Linked DNA regions of Ovis aries. Each later gene encodes a partner of the first gene's protein in a complex. Links are inferred from orthologs where the notes say so. Each region holds a gene or a part of one and is shown in the gene's direction. Other genes may lie near its edges.

The links.
Region 2: the proteins of BACH1 (region 1) and FBXO22 are in contact, whole or in part, in a cryo-EM structure (PDB 8S7D), measured with the Homo sapiens proteins. The link is inferred for Ovis aries from reciprocal best matches to the Homo sapiens genes BACH1 and FBXO22. Residues at the interface, in NP_001177.1 of Homo sapiens: Ser7, Val8, Phe9, Ala10, Tyr11, Glu12, Ser13, Ser14, Val15; in NP_671717.1 of Homo sapiens: Asp366, Gly371, Asn372, Phe373, Ile374, Leu375, Arg376, Lys377, Cys378.
Region 3: the proteins of BACH1 (region 1) and FBXL17 are in contact, whole or in part, in a cryo-EM structure (PDB 8UAH), measured with the Homo sapiens proteins. The link is inferred for Ovis aries from reciprocal best matches to the Homo sapiens genes BACH1 and FBXL17. Residues at the interface, in NP_001177.1 of Homo sapiens: Val20, Leu21, Ser23, Leu24, Gln27, Val32, Leu33, Asp35, Phe39, His48, Arg49, Ser50, Val51, Ala53, Ala54, Cys55, Ser56, Ser57, His60, Ser61, Arg62, Val64, Asn72, Thr74, Pro76, His116, Asn117; in NP_001156787.2 of Homo sapiens: Asp395, Arg421, Asn447, Gln473, Gln498, Glu499, Met524, Arg548, Cys574, Leu575, Tyr598, Val600, Ser601, Asp623, Trp626, Met651, Arg652, Val676, Gln678, Asp679, Cys680, Arg682, Thr683, Glu685, Gln689, Trp692.

What each region holds. Positions count from the first base shown.
Region 1 is NC_056054.1:127,400,456-127,405,963, reverse strand, and holds part of BACH1 (transcription regulator protein BACH1), read left to right. Parts: intron 1-223; 5' UTR 224-283; coding exon 284-517; intron 518-4,067; coding exon 4,068-5,405; intron 5,406-5,508. UniProt on the Homo sapiens protein: Transcriptional regulator that acts as a repressor or activator, depending on the context. Binds to NF-E2 DNA binding sites. Plays important roles in coordinating transcription activation and repression by MAFK.
Region 2 is NC_056071.1:28,993,683-28,999,881, forward strand, and holds the start of FBXO22 (F-box only protein 22), read left to right. Parts: upstream 1-2,026; 5' UTR 2,027-2,125; coding exon 2,126-2,271; intron 2,272-2,664; coding exon 2,665-2,803; intron 2,804-6,199. UniProt on the Homo sapiens protein: Substrate-recognition component of the SCF (SKP1-CUL1-F-box protein)-type E3 ubiquitin ligase complex that is implicated in the control of various cellular processes such as cell cycle control, transcriptional regulation, DNA damage repair, and apoptosis.
Region 3 is NC_056058.1:104,496,794-104,502,301, reverse strand, and holds part of FBXL17 (F-box/LRR-repeat protein 17), read left to right. Parts: intron 1-1,536; coding exon 1,537-1,679; intron 1,680-5,508. UniProt on the Homo sapiens protein: Substrate-recognition component of the SCF(FBXL17) E3 ubiquitin ligase complex, a key component of a quality control pathway required to ensure functional dimerization of BTB domain-containing proteins (dimerization quality control, DQC).

The sequences.
Region 1 (5,508 bases):
GGAAGATCCGCCCGGAGAAGGAAGTGGCAACCCACTCCAATATTCTTGCCGGGAAAATCCGCATGGACCGAGGAGTCTGGAGGGCCAGTCTATGAGGTCGCAGAGAGTCGGACTGACTGAGCGACTAAACAGCAGCCACGTGTTGATGGGTACCTGCCGGGGCTGTCGGGACAGATTTCCTTCCTAGCCGTTCCGTGAGTGACCGCAGCCTGTGTCTCGGCAGGGTTGACAACCGTCAGAAGCATGCTCTCTCGGATCCTCCCGACGCCGCCCCGGACGCAGAATGTGGCTGGGTGAGAACGCGGTGTTCGCCTACGAGTCGTCGGTGCACGGCGCGCACGTGCTGCGCTGCCTGGACGAGCAGCGGCGGAAGGACGAGCTGTGCGACGTGACGGTGCTGGTGGAGGGCCGGCCCTTCCGCGCGCACCGCGCCGTGCTGGCCGCCTGCAGCGCCTACTTCCACGCCCGGCTCGCCGGCGTGGCCGGCGCAGAGCCACGCATCACGCTGCCCGGAGAGGTGGGAGAGCTCGCCCCGCGTTCATGCAACCAACTGTCTCCCCTGGTTGATCCCGTTAGGGCAAAACCCCGCCTTGCCGGTCATCCTTGCCCGTGCTTCTGCAGCCTCACATTTAACTTGCTTCAGCATTTTTTGTGTCAACTGGTTCACTTTATTATTTTGGCCGCACCTCAAGGCAGGCGGAATCGTAGTTCCCCCACCAGGGATCAAACCCCTGTGTCTGGCAGTGGAAGTGTGAAATCTTACTTAACCTCTGGACTGCCAGAGAAGTCTCTGATAACTTTGGATGTTAGTTAATATATGTTGGGCCGTTGAATAACTTGACCCTCTGTTATGTTTTAATGAAATGCCTCACCAGTGGATACGGGCATTCGGAGAGGTCGCACACCTGGGCGGGACTCCCCCTTTGGACCTTTTCCTGTGATGGACAGGGATTAGGGTCCTCCCAAGCCTGCATTTGACTATGACCGACCTGCCTTCATGGACAGGACTGAAAGGGAGTTACTGGGGACAGCCTTCCTATGCCGCTCAGTTTTATTGTTTTAACTATGAGTCCAAGTTGCCAGATCTCTTCGTTTTTAAAGCCAGATGTTTTAGAATTTGGAGAAAACCTAAAAGATTATGCATTCCAGCCTCCTCATTTTGTCTACAAGTGGCTGTTAGGTACTCCAGAAGGGTTCTCTCCCTTTTTTCTTTCTTGAGATTGAGACAATGTGTGGGTAGAAGAAAGGTGATTTTGTGTCATATTTATAGAGCCTTGTACTTACACACCTTTCCCCCCAAGCCTATTGTGGAGCTCGTGCACCTAGACACTTAGGTTCTTGTTACCATCCTGCCACTAAGAGAAGACTCTTAGGGAGGGAGTGCTGGGTACACTGACTGTTTTAACTGTTTGGTTTCATTAGTGATGACAGCTAGAAGAGTGCTGAGCCTTGTGGCATTGGGACACATTTTGTTCACCGTTAAGTTGTATCTGACAATTTGTGACCTCAGGGACTGCAGCAGGCCAGGCTTCCAGGCCCTTCACTGTCTCCCAGAGTTTGCTTAAACTCAAATGTCCATTGAGTTGGTGATGCCATCCAACCATCTCATCCTCTGTCATCCCCTTCTCCTCCTGCCCTCAATCTTTGCCAGCATCAGGGTCTTTTCAACTGAGTCAGCTTTTCACATCAGGTGGCCAAAGTATTGGAGCTTCAGTCCTTCCAGTGAATATTCAGGACTGATTTCCTTTATGATTGACTGGTTTGATCTCCTTGCAGTCCAGGGGACTCTCAAGAGTCTTCTCCAGCACACATTAGAAGTTGTTGAAAGGAATTTGGACAAAGTATATAGAACCTGTCTATGTACAACAGGTTTGTGTGGGCTGTTCTGTGATGACAGTGAGTCTACAGTTTAGCTTATTGCTGGCCATGCAGACATACATCCATGAAATGGTAGCTGCAGGTGGTCAGTTCTGTGGCAGAAGTTGGAACAAATAATATAATACTAAGGCAGTGGCAAGAAGGGCCGGCTATTGGTCACCCGTTGTTCTTTAACAAGTAGCAACACATGTCCTAATGGAGATATCCTCTTTATGATCTGTAGTTTCAAATTACTTGAAAAGACTTTCCAAGCAGAAAATAATTTGATTCATGTATATGGAAGGAAAGATACCTGCATGCACGTGTGTATATATACATTCATTCATTCTAATTTGAATATGAGATACAAATTTTCAGATATTTGAAGTGTCTCATCATAATGACAGATTGAAAAGATCATTGTGGAGCTGTCTTTAAAGCCTCTTGATTATTTTATTTAAAAATTCTCAATTAAAACATTTATTGAGATCATTGTAAATTCACATGCAGCTGTTAAGGCAGAGAGCCCCTTTGCTGCACTCGGCTCAGTTTCTTCCAATGGTGGTGGTTTTGCAAAATTGTATGTCACAACCAGGATTTTGATAGTAGTACAATTCACCCATCTTAGGCTTTCCTGGTTTTACTTGTACTAAATTGCGTATGCTGTAAAATTCTATACAGTTTCGTTTCCTGGGTGGGTCCATGTGTCCACTGCCATAGTAAGGAAACTGAACAGTTTCAGCACCTACCCGAGAATCCCTTGTGTTGCCCTTTTATAATCCCACTCACTTCCTTTCTAGTTTCCATCCATACTCCCTCACCCCCTCCCTCCATTCCTAATCCCTGGCAACCACTAATCTGTCCTCCTTTCTTAAAGTTTTGTCATCTGAAAAATGTCACATAAATGGAGTCATACAGTAGGTGACCTTTTGGGATTGGCCTTTTTCCTCTTACTGTAATTTCTCTGAGATTTATCCAAGTCTTAGGCATCCGCAGTGTATTCTTTTCTAATGCTGAGCATTCCTTACTGTGGGTATACTGGTTTTTATTTAGCTGTACACCTATTGAAGGAAATCAGGCTGATTCCAATTTTGGGCTGTTACAGATAACACTGCAGTGAGCGCTTGTGCAAGATGAGTTTTCATTTTTCTGGCATAAAAGAATAGGAGTGCAGTTGCTGGGACATATGGTGGTTGCATGTTTATAAGAAACTGCCAAACTGGTTTGCAGAGCAGCTGCACCATTTTACGTTCCTACCAGCAGTGTGTGAGTTTTCCTGTTTCTCCACATCTTCACCAGTATTTGGTATTGCTGTTTTTATTTTACTTTATTTTTTTAGCCATTTAAAAGCTAATTAAGTATGCCCAGTTTAGCAGATGTTTAAGAGAATCACAGAAAAATTATATCTTGATCACTCTGATTGGAATTCAGTGTTCTAAAATTAATTTTTGTATTTTGAGCCTAGAATGAAGCTTTCCATGCCCTCAGTAGGTGTCATCTCCCCCTCTCTCTGCAGAGGCAGGTTCAGTGTAAATGTACAATTTTGAGCTTAAAGGTTTTATTAGCTAGGGTCCTTGAATCTTTGCTGAGACTGTACTAGGCACAAGTTTTAGGTCTTCACGTAGATCACTTTGTAAATCTGAATCTTTAAAAATTTTATTAGAAACTCGAAGATAACTGATAGTTAGCCATTGACTGTCCACATGGTTAGGAGTACTTTCATTGCTTTAGCTATTTTGTTCTCCGGCCTTGAATATTCCACGGTAGTAGTTTATCACGGCTGAGGAGTTGTTTGGAATATGGTAACCACGTGGACCTAGGATGGCAACAGACCCCAGCACTTGAAACAGTGTGTTGAACGTTTATCCGTGTTGCTTTATTCCATAGATGCCTTCTTTCCATTAATGTGGAAAGTTGTGGTAATGTTTATATCTTTATCTCATATGAGTAAATCATACTCCATGGATCACCATGAGTGGATATCTATAAAGTGGAGAGTGTGGTCCCAGTGAACAGGATGTGAGAAGCAAGCTTTTCTAGATTCCCTTAGCTTTACATTTCTGAGAAGATTTTTTTCTCGCCAAATTAAAATCCCTGTTTTATAAGTATCACAAAGAGGTTTTCATCTTGCCACCCTGCTGCTTCTCTCGTCCTTATCTGCTAGACAGGTTTTCATATGATGTGTTTGTTTTTGTTTTGTATATTAACAGGTGACAGTTAAAGGATTTGAACCTTTAATTCAGTTTGCCTACACTGCTAAACTGATACTCAGTAAGGACAATGTGGATGAGGTGTACAAGTGTGTGGAATTTTTAGGCGTACCTGATATTGAGGAATCCTGCTTTCAGTTTCTCAAATACAAGTTTCTGGACTCCACTGCAGACCAGCAGGAATGCCCCAGAAAAAAATGCTTCTCCTCACCTTGCCAGAAACCAGATTTTAAGTTTTCACTTTTGGACCAGAAGGATTTAGAAATTGATGAGGTGGAGGAATTTCTGGACAGCAAAAATGTCCAAACCCCTCACTGTAAACTGCGTAGGTATCAAGGCAGTGCAAAAGTGACTCCTCCTCTGCAGGACAGTGCCAGCCAAACATGTGAATCCATGTGCTTAGAAAAGGACGCTCCCCTGGCTCTGCCGTCTTTATGCCCCAAATACCGAAAATTCCAGAAAGCGTTTGGAACCGACAGAGTCCGAACTGTGGAGTCCAGCGTCAAAGACATTCAGGCTGCTTCTGTTCAGCCACATGAGCCGTCGGAAAGTGAGTGTCTAGGAGGAATCCAGGACTGTGCAGACTTGCAGGTGATTTTAAAATGTGAAGAAAGAAAGTCAGTGATGGAACATGAAGAAGCCAAGAAGAAAGATCCCGCTTCCCAGGGCTCATCCGGAAAAACAGAAACGACTCCCTGCCCCCCCAGTTCTGCAGACTCCCACGGGCTCTACTCTCTGTCTCTCTTACACACGTACGACCAGTATGGTGACTTGAATTTTGCTGGCATGCAAAACACGACAGTGTTAACAGAAAAGCCTTCATCGGGTTCCAGTGTGCGAGAGGAGAAGGCTTTCAGTGAGAGTCCGGATGTGAAATCAGACTCCGGCCCCAGGAAGGAGAGTGGCCTTGCCGCGAGTGATCTGAGCAGCGTGGAGCGAGAGGTGGCGGAACACCTCGCGAAGGGCTTCTGGAGTGACATCTGCAGCGCGGACTCTCCCTGCCAAATGCAGTTGTCACCTGCCGTGGCCAAAGACGGCCCAGAGCAGAACTACCCCCAGAAGCGGTCTGAGTGTCCCTGGTTAGGTATCAGGATCAGCGAGAGCCCGGAACCGGGCCAGAGGACTTTCACGACCTTGAGTTCTGTCAATTGCCCTTTTATAAGCACTCTGAGTCCTGAGGGCTGTTCCAGCAGCCTGGAAATTGGAACCGATGACTACGTTTCAGAGCCCCAGCAGGAGCCTTGTCCCTACGCTTGTGTGATCAGCTTGGGAGATGACTCGGAGACAGATACCGAAGGGGACAGTGAGCCCTGTTCAGCCAGAGAACAAGAGTGTGAGGTGAGTGGAAAAGGAGTGTGTGCTCAAGTCATTGTTTGACCACCGTTAACTGGACTGACTGTGTCTGCTCCTGTTGGGAATGTGATCTGGCTCAGGGAGGGAG
Region 2 (6,199 bases), on another chromosome or scaffold:
TTTGGCATGCTTTGGTTTTTGGTTTTGGGGGGTTTTTTGGACTTTATTTTTCATTGCAGATTTATTTGGCAATGTACAGTAAATTTTGTAAACTTGCATCAAGTTTATGAATAAAGAACCATTTAAAAAATAACTCTTTCACTTTCCTTTTGTAACAGATACTCTTTGAGTTTCTATAGGCTCTGTTGGGTTTCTGGAATAGGATCATATATGGTGGGATGGGGTGAGGAGAGGCTTAAGGTAGATTGATTTCACAAGAGAAAGCTGGAGAACCCAGAATTGTTGTGTATAGACTTGGCATACTCAGGGTTTCCTCAACCTCTTCCCTTGTGCACACTGATTCTTTAATATAAATTCAAATGCTACTTTCTTCATCGCTTTCCTAATTCCCCAAGGTACAGTATCTGTTCCCTGTTCAGTGTACCCATAGCCTCTTGACACAATTGTCAATTTCTCACATACAAGAAGTACAGAAGTAGGAAAACTCCAGGCGTAGTACCTCTGCTGCTTTGAGACCTTTCTGTGTTGGTTTCATCTTTGGATAGACTTGAATGTGCAGCCACCTTAATCCATCCAGAGGTAGATAATGGCCCTGTGGTCCAGTGTCTCCTTAGGAAGTGAGAAAGTCTTTAGAGGTCCCCCTACCCACCCTCCCACCCCCCAAAAAACACAACTTTTTCTTGGCCTAGAACTAGAGCATTTGTCTACCCCTAAATTAATGGCTGGTCAAAAGAATGAAACTATCATAATTAGTTTGGATCAGTGGTTTTCAAGGTATAATTTGTTGGAGAACTCTGGAGACTCCTGAGACCCTTTTAGGAGGTTTTTAAGGTCAAAACAACACTAAACCATTATTTGATATTTTCACTCTCATTCTCTCACAAGTGTACAGTGGAGTTTTCCAGAGGCTACATGATGTGACAGATGGGATATTGAACAGACTGAATTCAGAAGCAGATCCAGCTGTCTAATACTAACTAATGTCAGTAGTTACAGGTTTATAAGATGTAAAGATGCTACTCTATGCAATAGTGGGGAGTGGGGTGGAGATCTGGTAAGGTTATTTTTTCATGTTACTCTGTGTATGAACTATTTTAAGTGAATTAGTATGATAAATATAGTTACAACCCACATAAAGAAGTTCTTTGGCGTTATCAGTATTTAAGAATGTGAAGCAGTCCTGAAGTCAAAATGTTTGAGACCTGCTTTTTTTAGACTTACCACATTTACCAGCCAAGAGCTGGGCACCAGATCAGGGCCTTGTTAGCAAGGAAGCTACAGGAGGAGTGGGTGTTCCCTGGGGAGACAGCAGTATCTGTTGTGCTTAGATTTTTCTGTCTGTGGTTCTCAACTTGAACTTGCATCAGGGGTAAATTTAAATCACAGTAAAGCTGAAACTCCAACTGCTGGCCCCAGCCCGCATAGTAAGCCTGCGATGGGGATCAAGAACGCGCCAAGGTATTTCCCAGGTGAATCTCATGCTATAGGCAGGGAACTAATGCTGTTTGGGGCGTGGTTTCACAGCAATGGTAGGTACTCTAAGCTGATTTACAGGTTCAGAACTTGAGGTTACACGGTGTTGAATAAAGGAATTTTCATACTTTTAAAAGGATATGCTATCTGTTCAAAAATCAGACTCATGCTGTTGTTAACTGACATTGGGACTGTAAGGACTGATACAACACTCTCTAGTCTGACTCCCAAGAATTCATGAAAGACTTGGAAATGAGGCTACAAGAGCAGTGAGCGGCACAGAATGAGGTGGATCTAGTTTGACTGCGTGAAGCTTCCGGGAAAGTCCCAGAAGAATTACAGGACGCGTGACTCTGTGTGTTCTGTGCTTAGTCGCTCAGTCCTGTCCGACTTTGCTACCCCGAGGGACTGCTAAATCCGCCAATCTCCCCTTCCAAACACCTGCCTGCCATCCAAGGCCAGCGCCGGAAACATATTAGCCTGGAGTCACGTGGGCTTCCCCGCAGCAGTTCCGCCTCCCCGGATCGGCCGGAAGTGGCGCGCGCGCCTGCTCAGTGCGCCGGGGGCCCTGTCTAAGCCGCTCCCTCTGAGCCGCCGTACTGTTTCCCGGTGGGGTTGGTGGGGTTGGTGGGGTTGGTGGGGTTGGTGAGGCATGGAGCGGGTGGGCGGCGGCGGCGGCGATTGCTGCGGCTCCTCCTCCGCAGACCCGCGAAGTACCTTCGTGCTGAGTAACCTAGCGGAGGTGGTGGAGCGTGTCTTCACCTTCCTGCCTGCTAAGGCGTTGCTGCGGGTGGCCGGGTGAGGGCAGGGGCGGCGGGAAGCTGACCTCGGGACTTGCCTCGGGCTTGCCTGGGCTGGCGGGTGGGCGGATACCGTCGGGACCCAGGGCTGACCCCGGCTCCGGACCCCGTGTCCCAGGTGGCGCTCCCATACCCCAGCGCTACCTGCCGTAGTGCTCCCGGGGACCCTTCCCAGAGGAGCCAGTTTCCCCCTACGGTTCTCTCCGCCCCCAGTTCTGCCTCCGAACCGCTGCTACACGCCTCGCCGTCCCGGGGACTCGGGATCCCGTAGCGATCTCCTGCTGTTGAGGTTATGGGTGGTGGCGAGCGGAGGGAGGTCTGTACAGAGAGAGCTGCGGGAGAAAGGGAAGTGAACGTCCGTTCACAGTCCTTTGTGCGTGTGCGTCCCCAGCGTGTGTCGCTTATGGAGGGAGTGTGTGCGCAGAGTGTTGCGGACTCATCGGAATGTGACCTGGATCTCCGCGCTCTCGGCGGATCCCTGCCATCTGGCGCAGCATTGCCTGGTCCGCGTGGTAGCCGAAGAGCTTGAGGCAAGTAAGGGGTGTCGCGTACAGTCCTTTGCAAGTTTGGTGGGTCAGTCGTTGAGATTAAATACTATAAAACAATTCGTATATGGTCTGACTTCCCTGGTGGCTCAAGACGGGAAGTTGACCACCTGCAATGCGGGAGACCTGAGTTTGATCCCTGGGTTGGGAAGATCCCTTGGAGAAGGAAATGGCAACTGCCCACTCCAGTTCTTGCCTCGAGAATCCCATGGATAGACTGGCGGGCCACAGTCCATGGGGTCGCAGAGTTAAGCACAGCTTCCAGTTCAGGCACGCCAGGCCTTCGTGTCCATCACGAACTCCCGGAGTTTATTCAAACTCATGTCCATTGAGTTGGTGATGCTATTCTGTAATTTAGGGAAAATTTGCTCGGGGCATGAAGACTTTATAAACACCAATTTTAATGACTGCATATTGTAAGGATGTGCCATGGTTTCTTTGACCATTCTCCACATACTGGGCATTTTCAATTCAGTTCAGTTGCTCAGTCCTGTCTGACTCTGCAACCCCATGGACTGCAGCATGCCAGGCCTCCCTGTCCATCACCAACTCCCAGAGTTTATTCAAAGTGCCATTGAGTCAGTGATGGTATCTAACCAACTCATCCTCTGCTGCTCCCTTCTTTTGCCTTCAGTCTTTCCCAGCATCAGGATCTTTTCCAGTTAATAGGCTCTGCACATCAGGTGGCCAAAGAGGTGGATATTCAGCTTCAGCATCAGGCCTTCCAATGAATCTTCAGGGTTAATTTCCTTTAGGATCGATTGGTTTGATCTCTGCAGTGCAAGGAATTTGGACTTCTCCAGCACCACAATTCGAAAGCATCAGTTTTTCTGCACTCAGCTTTCTTTATGGTCCAGTCCTCACATCGGTACATGACTACCTGAAAAACCATAGCTTTGACGATACAGATCTTTGTGGGCAAAGTGATGTCTCTACTTTCTAATACGCTGTCTAGGTATAAGTGTACCACATTTATATCCATTTCATCTCTTGGTGAGCACCTAGGTTGTTTCCATCTCTTGGCTATTGTAAATAATGCTGCAGTGCATCAGTTCAGTTCAGTCAGTCACTCAGTCCTATCCCATTCTTTGCGACCTCATGGACTGCAGCATGCCAGGCCTCCCTGTCCATCGCTAACTTCTGGAGTTTACTCAAACTCATGCCCATTCAGTTGGTGATGCCATCCAAACGTCTCATCCTCTGTAGTCCCCTTCTCCCACCTTCAGTCTTTCCCAGCATCAGGGTCTTTTCTAATGAGTCAGTTCTTTGCATCAGGTGGCCAAAGTATTAAGAGTTTTAGCATCAGCATCAGACCTTCCAATGAATGTTCAGGACTGATCTCCTTTAGAATGGACTGGTTGGATCTCCAAGTCCAAGGGACTCTCAAGAGTCTTCTCCAACACCACAGTTCAAAAGCATCAATTTTTCGACACTCAGCTTTCTTTATAGTCCAATTCTCACATCCATACATGACTACGGGAAAAACCAAAGCTTTGACTAGATGGACCTTTGTTGGCAAAGTAATGTCTCTTTTTTCATATGCTGTCTAGGTGGGTCATAACTTTTCTTCCAAGGAGCAAAGGTCTTTTAATTTCATGGCTGCAGTCACCATCTGCAGTGATTTTGGAGCCCAGGAAAATAAAGTCTATTACAATTTCCACTCTTTCCCCATCTATTTGTCATGAAGTGATGGGACCAGATGCCATGATCTTAGTTTTCTGACTGTTGAGCTTTAAGCCAAATTTTTCACTCTCTTCTTTCACTTTCATCAAGGGGCTCTTTATTTCTTTACTTTCTGCCATAAGGGTGGTATCATCTGCATATCTGAGATTATTGATATTTCTCCCGGCAGTCTTGATTTCAGCTTGTGCTTCATCCAGCCCAGTGTTTCTCATAATGTACTCTGCATAGAAGTTAAATAAGCAGGGAGACAATATACAGCCTTGACGTAGTCCTTTCCCTATTTGGAACCAGTCTGTTGTTCGATGTTCAGTTCTAACTGTTGCTTCCTGATCTTCATACAGATTTCTCAAGAGGCAGGTCAGATGGTCTGGTATTCCCATCTCTTAGAATTTTCCAGAGTTTGTTGTGGTCCACACAGTCAAAGGCTTTGGCATAGTCAGTAAAGCAGAAGTAGATATTCTTCTGAAACACTCTTGCTTTTTCCATGATCCAGTGGATGTTGGCAGTTTGATCTCTGGTTCCTCTGCCTTTTCTAGCTTGAACATTTGGTAGTTCACGGTTCACATACTGTTGAAGCCTGGCTTGAAGAATTTTGAGCATTACTTTGCTACCGTGTGAGATGAGTACAATTGTGCGTTAGTTTGAGCATTCTTTGGCATTGCCTGACGTTTTCCAGTCCTGTGGCCACTGCTGAGTTTTCCAAATTTGCTGGCATATTCAGTGTAGCACTTTCACAGCATCATCTTTCAGGATCTGAAATAGCTCAACTGGAATTCCATCACCTCCACTAGCTTTGTTCATAGTGATGCTTCCTAAGGCCCACTTGACTTCACATTCCAGAATGTCTGGCTCTAGGTTGGTGATCACACCATTGTAATTATCTGGGTGGTGAAGATCTTTTTGTACAGTTCTGCTGTGTAGTTTCGCCACCTCTTCTTAATATCTTCTGCTTCTGTTAGGTCCACACCATTTCTACCCTTTACTGTGTCCCATCTTTGTGAGAAATGTTCCCTTGGTATCTCTCATTTTCTTGAAGCAATCTCTAGTCTTTCCCATTCTGTTCTTTTCCTCTATTTCTTTGCATTGATTGCTGAGGAAGGCTTTCTTATCTCTCCTTGCTATTCTTTGGAACTCTGCATTCAGATGGGTATATCTTTCCTTTTCTCCTTTGCCTTTCACTTCTTTTCTATTCACAGCTATTTGTAAGGCCTCCTCAGATGACCATTTTGCCTCTCTGGATTTCTTTTTTGGGGGGATGGTCTTGATCCCTGCCTCCTGTACAGTGTCATGAACCTCCATCCATAGTTCCTCAGACACTCTGTCTATCAGATCTCATCCCTTGAATCTATTTGTCGCTTCCACTGTATAATCATAAGGGATTTGATTTAGGTCATACCTGAATGGTGTAGTGGTTTTCTGTACTTTCTTCAATTTAAGTCTGAATTTTCCAATAAGGAGTTCATGATCTGAGCCACAGTCAACTCCTGGTCTTGTTTTTACTGACTGTATAGAGCTTCTCGCTCTTTGGCTGCAAAGAATATAATCAGCCTGATTTCGGCATTGACCATGTGGTGAGGTCTATGTGTAGAATGTTCTCTTGTGTTGTTGGAAGAGGGTGTTTGGTATGACCAGTGCATTCTCTTGGGAAAACTCTATTAGCCTTTGCCTTTCTTCATTCTGTACTCCAAGGACAAATTT
Region 3 (5,508 bases), on another chromosome or scaffold:
AATGAATTTTATGACACTACCAGAGACAGCAACCGTTTTCTTAGGTCAGGAACACGGATAGGATTAACCTGAGATGCTGCTTATACTATACGAAAAATCACCCTGACAGCGCAGCACACCTTGGGCAGATCGCTCCTGCCCTGTCCCGCCTCCTCGGAAAACTAAAGGCCGGAATAGCATGTGCACAGTTGAGGACATCAGCGAACTGATATCCTGAGGAACTTCTGGGATTTTTTTTTTTCTTCCCTCATATTAATAGCATTTTCACTGGGAAACACTGGGGTCATGACTGTTGTTTTCATAAACTTTAAATATCTGGCACATTAGGAATGCTTTGATACTTGAATACATAGGCATGAGTTTTCTAGTTTAAAAAATTGCTGAGATAATTAGCAAAGAGGTTTTTGCCCTGTGTTTTCCCTGCAAGCTTTAAGAGTTAACATTTATTTACACGAGTACTTCCTCTGCTCTGATCATTCTGGTCAATGGGAAAACATCGTCTGCTTTTCATGTCATAGGAGTCAGCTCATCCTATCTTAGAATGAGGAAATAATTAGCAAACAGTTATCATTCCTTTTCAATATTTGTGGCATCGTGTTCAGAGTTTTCCTCTACACACCAATGCACCGTAAACGTTGTCTGGCTGGAGGTCTTGAAATCTGTTTTGCTGTGCTGCAAACGTAGAGGTGTGTGTGTTTCACTAGAAGCCTGTAGCCAAGAGCCACATTCGCCGACTGGATGCTCTGACGGGGTGACAGGTTATGGAGCCCTGCAGTGATGTGTGGTGTACATCACAGACTGTGGGATAAACCTCTGTGCGTCCGTAGAGGTACAGGGCTGAACAGCCAAGCAGACTAGGGGCAGGGGTAGTGTTTGTGTGACCGGCTTCATCCCCTGTGTCAATAAGAGGAAGACTTCCGATACAGTGCGGACATCCACCATAACAAATGCTAGCGCCAGCTAAATTCAACTGTGTGTATAATGTCCTCTGAATTCCCAGCTGTCTCAAGAAGGACTAATGTGAAAGATGTTATATGCTCTTACATTTTATAGATCATGAACAGATGGGGGGAAAGTGTGCCAATTGGTAAAGAAATTCATATGCAGAATAACACACCTCAAAATGGTGTTTCGAAGGTTTTTCTTTTTTAAAATTATTAAATTTATCTTGGATAAAATTTAATTACTCCTTGGGGGTTTCCTGTAATATTATATGCGTAATTCATTTGAGTTTATGCCCTCTACAGATATGAATGTTTGGAAGTACAGGTAACCTTGTAATGAATAAAACTGATAAAAGGTTGTGTTCCAATAAAAGGGAAATTATGGAATGATTATTCACTTTGTGAAAGGCTCTGTCATAGGGCACACTTTCCTAAAGCATTTTAAATTGGATTACATTTAGGAAACATTCGTTTATACACAACATTTCAGGAACAAATGTAGTGAGGAAATGAGAGAACTACTCATAATAAGATAGAGATCCCTTCCGCTGCTGACGTTTGTGCTTCCTGTCTTCTCTGCCTCCCCTCGCAGCTCTGATAGCCATCGGGCGATACAGCATGACAATAGAGACTGTGGACGTCGGCTGGTGCAAAGAGATCACGGACCAAGGGGCCACCCTGATTGCACAGAGCAGCAAGTCTTTAAGATACTTGGGGCTGATGAGATGTGATAAAGTGAGTTGCCTGTCGACCTTCTTTCCTACGTATCCGTGTCGTTTACAGCTTGATATTAGATTTTTCTTCACTACCTGGGTATATATATGTACACATGCACGTACTTATGTTATTACAGGTATGCATGGGAAGCTGCCTGGTTTTCTAAACTAATCTGAGATGATTTTTGAATATCTCTGTTTAAAAATGAATGTTTGTGCTTATGCAGAAAGAAAACAGCAGTCACACACACACTTAACTTAGATTTTGGCTTCCTGTCCGCAAGTCCACGGACCACGATTAAGTGTGTTTGCGTGGCACACTGCAGTGCGTGTGGCTTAACAGTGAAATTCCACTCAGGTTCCAAGTTTCCTGCAGCAGTAAGTTGGAAGGCCCGCTGCCAGATGATGCTGCCGCAGTCTGAAGTGCTCACTGCTCAGCGTCTTTGTGTTCTGCCCCTCAGGGGGGCAAGAAAGGGCCAGTGAGGCAACATTAGTTGGGAATCCCCACACTGCAGATGCTGCTTTTCACACATGTCGAGAAGCGGTCCCAGAGGCCCCACCGATGGTCAGTGGAGCTGGCCAGAGGCATGAGCCTGAGTTTGAGAAGTCGGGCTGCGTTTAATAAAGATGATCAGAAGCTGCACTGATAACCAGGCATTGGAGACGCACTTTCCCCTTTGTCTCTTTTACGTTTTCCTGGTAACAAATCTAGGAGATGGTCTGTGCTGCGAAGGGGAGAAAACGGAGCTCAGAAGGACCAGACACTGGCCCCATGCCCCCCATCCAGGGTGGCACCCCAGATCTTCAAGCCTATGGCCAGTGCCCAGGGCCCACCGCAGGGACTGTCTCCAGAGAAGGGGGTGCTTCCTTGGAAAAGACCCACCTCAGCTACTCGCTCTGAAAATGTTGGCAGCTTGTAACAATTTATACACGTGTGCTGCTTTTTGTGATTGGTGATTAGGCACAATGTAGCAAAAGAGCCTGAAGCTAAATATATATGCCTCTCAAAGGACATGCAGTTTCTAAATGTAGCAAATTGGGGACAAATAAGAATGGCCCAAATTCTCTGTGCGCTTTGTCAGTTTTGTTAATTGACCTAGTTCTTTTTTCCAGATGTTTTACAATCCCAGCTTATACCAGACCTTTCCAGTTAGTCATGATTAGAGAGACTTTATATACTCAGCCCAGCCTAGAAAGCTGACTGAGTTTATTACTGAGCAACAGCGGAGAGCCCGGGGTGGCAAGTCTCTCTTAAATTTCACCACTAACTAACTTAACACTGCTACTAACCCTGTCACTTCGAAATGATTCCTTTTAAAACAAGTGAGAGTCCATAGCAGGCAGAGTGTTCTAGAAACCCCGAACAGTGACAGCAGAACTCTTCGGCTTCTGCCCGAAGGAATCGCTGCGCACAAACTGCCTGCGCAAGGGCAGGAAGAGGTGAGCATTCACAGCCGGGCCCCTGCGCCCACAGCCATTCACAGCCGGGTCCCTGCGCCCACAGACATTCCCAGCCGGGCCCCTGCACCCACAGACATTCCCAGCCGGGCCCCTGCGCCCACAGCCATTCACAGCCGGGTCCCTGCGCCCACAGCCATTCACAGCCGGGCCCCTGCGCCCACAGCCATTCCCAGCCGGGCCCCTGCGCCCACAGCCATTCACAGCCGGGCCCCTGCGCCCACAGCCATTCCCAGCCGGGCCCCTGCGCCCACAGCCATTCACAGCCGGGTCCCTGCGCCCACAGCCATTCACAGCCGGGTCCCTGCGCCCACAGCCATTCCCAGCCGGGCCCCTGCGCCCACAGCCATTCCCAGCCGGGCCCCTGCGCCCACAGCCATTCACAGCCGGGTCCCTGCGCCCACAGCCATTCACAGCCGGGTCCCTGCACCCACAGACATTCCCAGCCGGGCCCCTGCGCCCACAGCCATTCCCAGCCGGGCCCCTGCGCCCACAGCCATTCCCAGCCGGGCCCCTGCGCCCACAGCCATTCACAGCCGGGTCCCTGCGCCCACAGCCATTCACAGCCGGGTCCCTGCGCCCACAGCCATTCCCAGCCGGGCCCCTGCGCCCACAGCCATTCACAGCCGGGTCCCTGCGCCCACAGCCATTCCCAGCCGGGCCCCTGCGCCCACAGCCATTCCCAGCCGGGCCCCTGCGCCCACAGCCATTCACAGCCGGGCCCCTGCGCCCACAGCCATTCACAGCCGGGTCCCTGCGCCCACAGCCATTCCCAGCCGGGCCCCTGCGCCCACAGCCATTCACAGCCGGGCCCCTGCGCCCACAGCCATTCACAGCCGGGTCCCTGCGCCCACAGCCATTCACAGCTGGGTCCCTGCGCCCACAGCCTCTGGCGGAGGCCACCGTGTTTCTAGTCCAGACTCTAGACCTGTTGAGATCAGCACCCTCTTTGGAGCTGAATTTGGTACTCCAGTTAGTTAAGAAGATCCTTTCAGATGTATTTGCTGACTAGCATTTTGCCAATTTTCAGTAAGTGGAAGGATCCTTTTCTGCATAAATGCAAATTCGTCCAAAGTAGGGCTGTCACAATCCAGCCCACTGTCACCAGCCCAGCCCTGCCAGCCAGCGTCCTCAGGCTTAAGGCAGTTCAGGGCCAAACGCGGGAGGTTCTGTGCGGACGGAAGAAGTTTCCAAACCACACCCAAAGCACACATAGAACCTCGCGCTTAAAAGCCTGCTGGTTGACTAAGTCAGTAAGTGTTAGTCGCTCCGTCGTGCCCAGCTCTTTGCAGCCCCATGGACGGTAGCCCACCAGGCTCCTCTGTCCATGGGATTTCCCAGGTAAGGGTACTGGAGTGGGTTGTCATTTCCTTCTCCAAGGGATCTTCCCGACCCAGGGATCGAAGCCAGGTCTCCTGCACTGCAGGCAGACGCTTTATCGATGGAGCTGCGCCTGCTGGTGGGTTTAGCCGGATGGAAACCCAGCGTGAATGCTCTGTCTTCCGCATGTGTACTATACTGTCCATCTCCAGGTTCCATACTCCAAGGAGTATGTGAGTAGCCAAGAGCCGAAGGTAGCAGTTGAGGACGTGGACTCTGGAGCCAGAGATGAGGCGCAGATCTGGGCTCCGCACTTCGCTGTGCCAGCTCGGACAGGTTGACCTCTTGAGTGCTTCCGTCTCCTCATTCGTAAAACGAGGATAATAACTGTACCCGTCTTGTAGAAATGCTGTATTTACACAAGTGGACATATGTCAAGCCCTTAGAGTAATGCTTGTTATGTATAAAATGCTTAATGTTAATAATTACTCTTTTCATCAACAATATTATATTACCCTGGGTCTTGATTTTTCAGTTTGCAAATGAGAAAAAATTGCATTGTCTGCTATCCCATTTTTGAAAGGAAGTCTTTAGAAAGAGGAAAGACATGAACTGAAAGATGTTGCCATTTCACTTTTCCCTCACTTAAATTTAAGATTTTTATTTCTACATAAATAGATCAATAATTGCATATTAAACACACTCTACGAAGGGAAACTGATGCCTCTGAGGGATAGTGTATTTGGAATCAACTTACTGATCCAGGCATAAGGCTGAAGAAAGATTTGCAGTGGGGAACAAAGGTGAGTTAAAGATGAAACAATTCAAATAGGCAGGAAAGCAAAAAGAAAGAAATAAGAAAAATGATGAAGGAAAGGATATTAGAACCAAAACCAGAAACAGTGCCGTTCTGTTTAGGAGGCAAAGAGCCACTGTCCGTCTCCGTGTGGTCCTCTGTGCCAGCAAAGGCAGCAGGGAGAAAGTTCGTTTGGGCCTCTCACTCATCTCCATGTACCTTAATCTAAGCTGCTAGCCCCTGGAGGCTTCTTCAGTTGAGTTCTCTGTCCCCT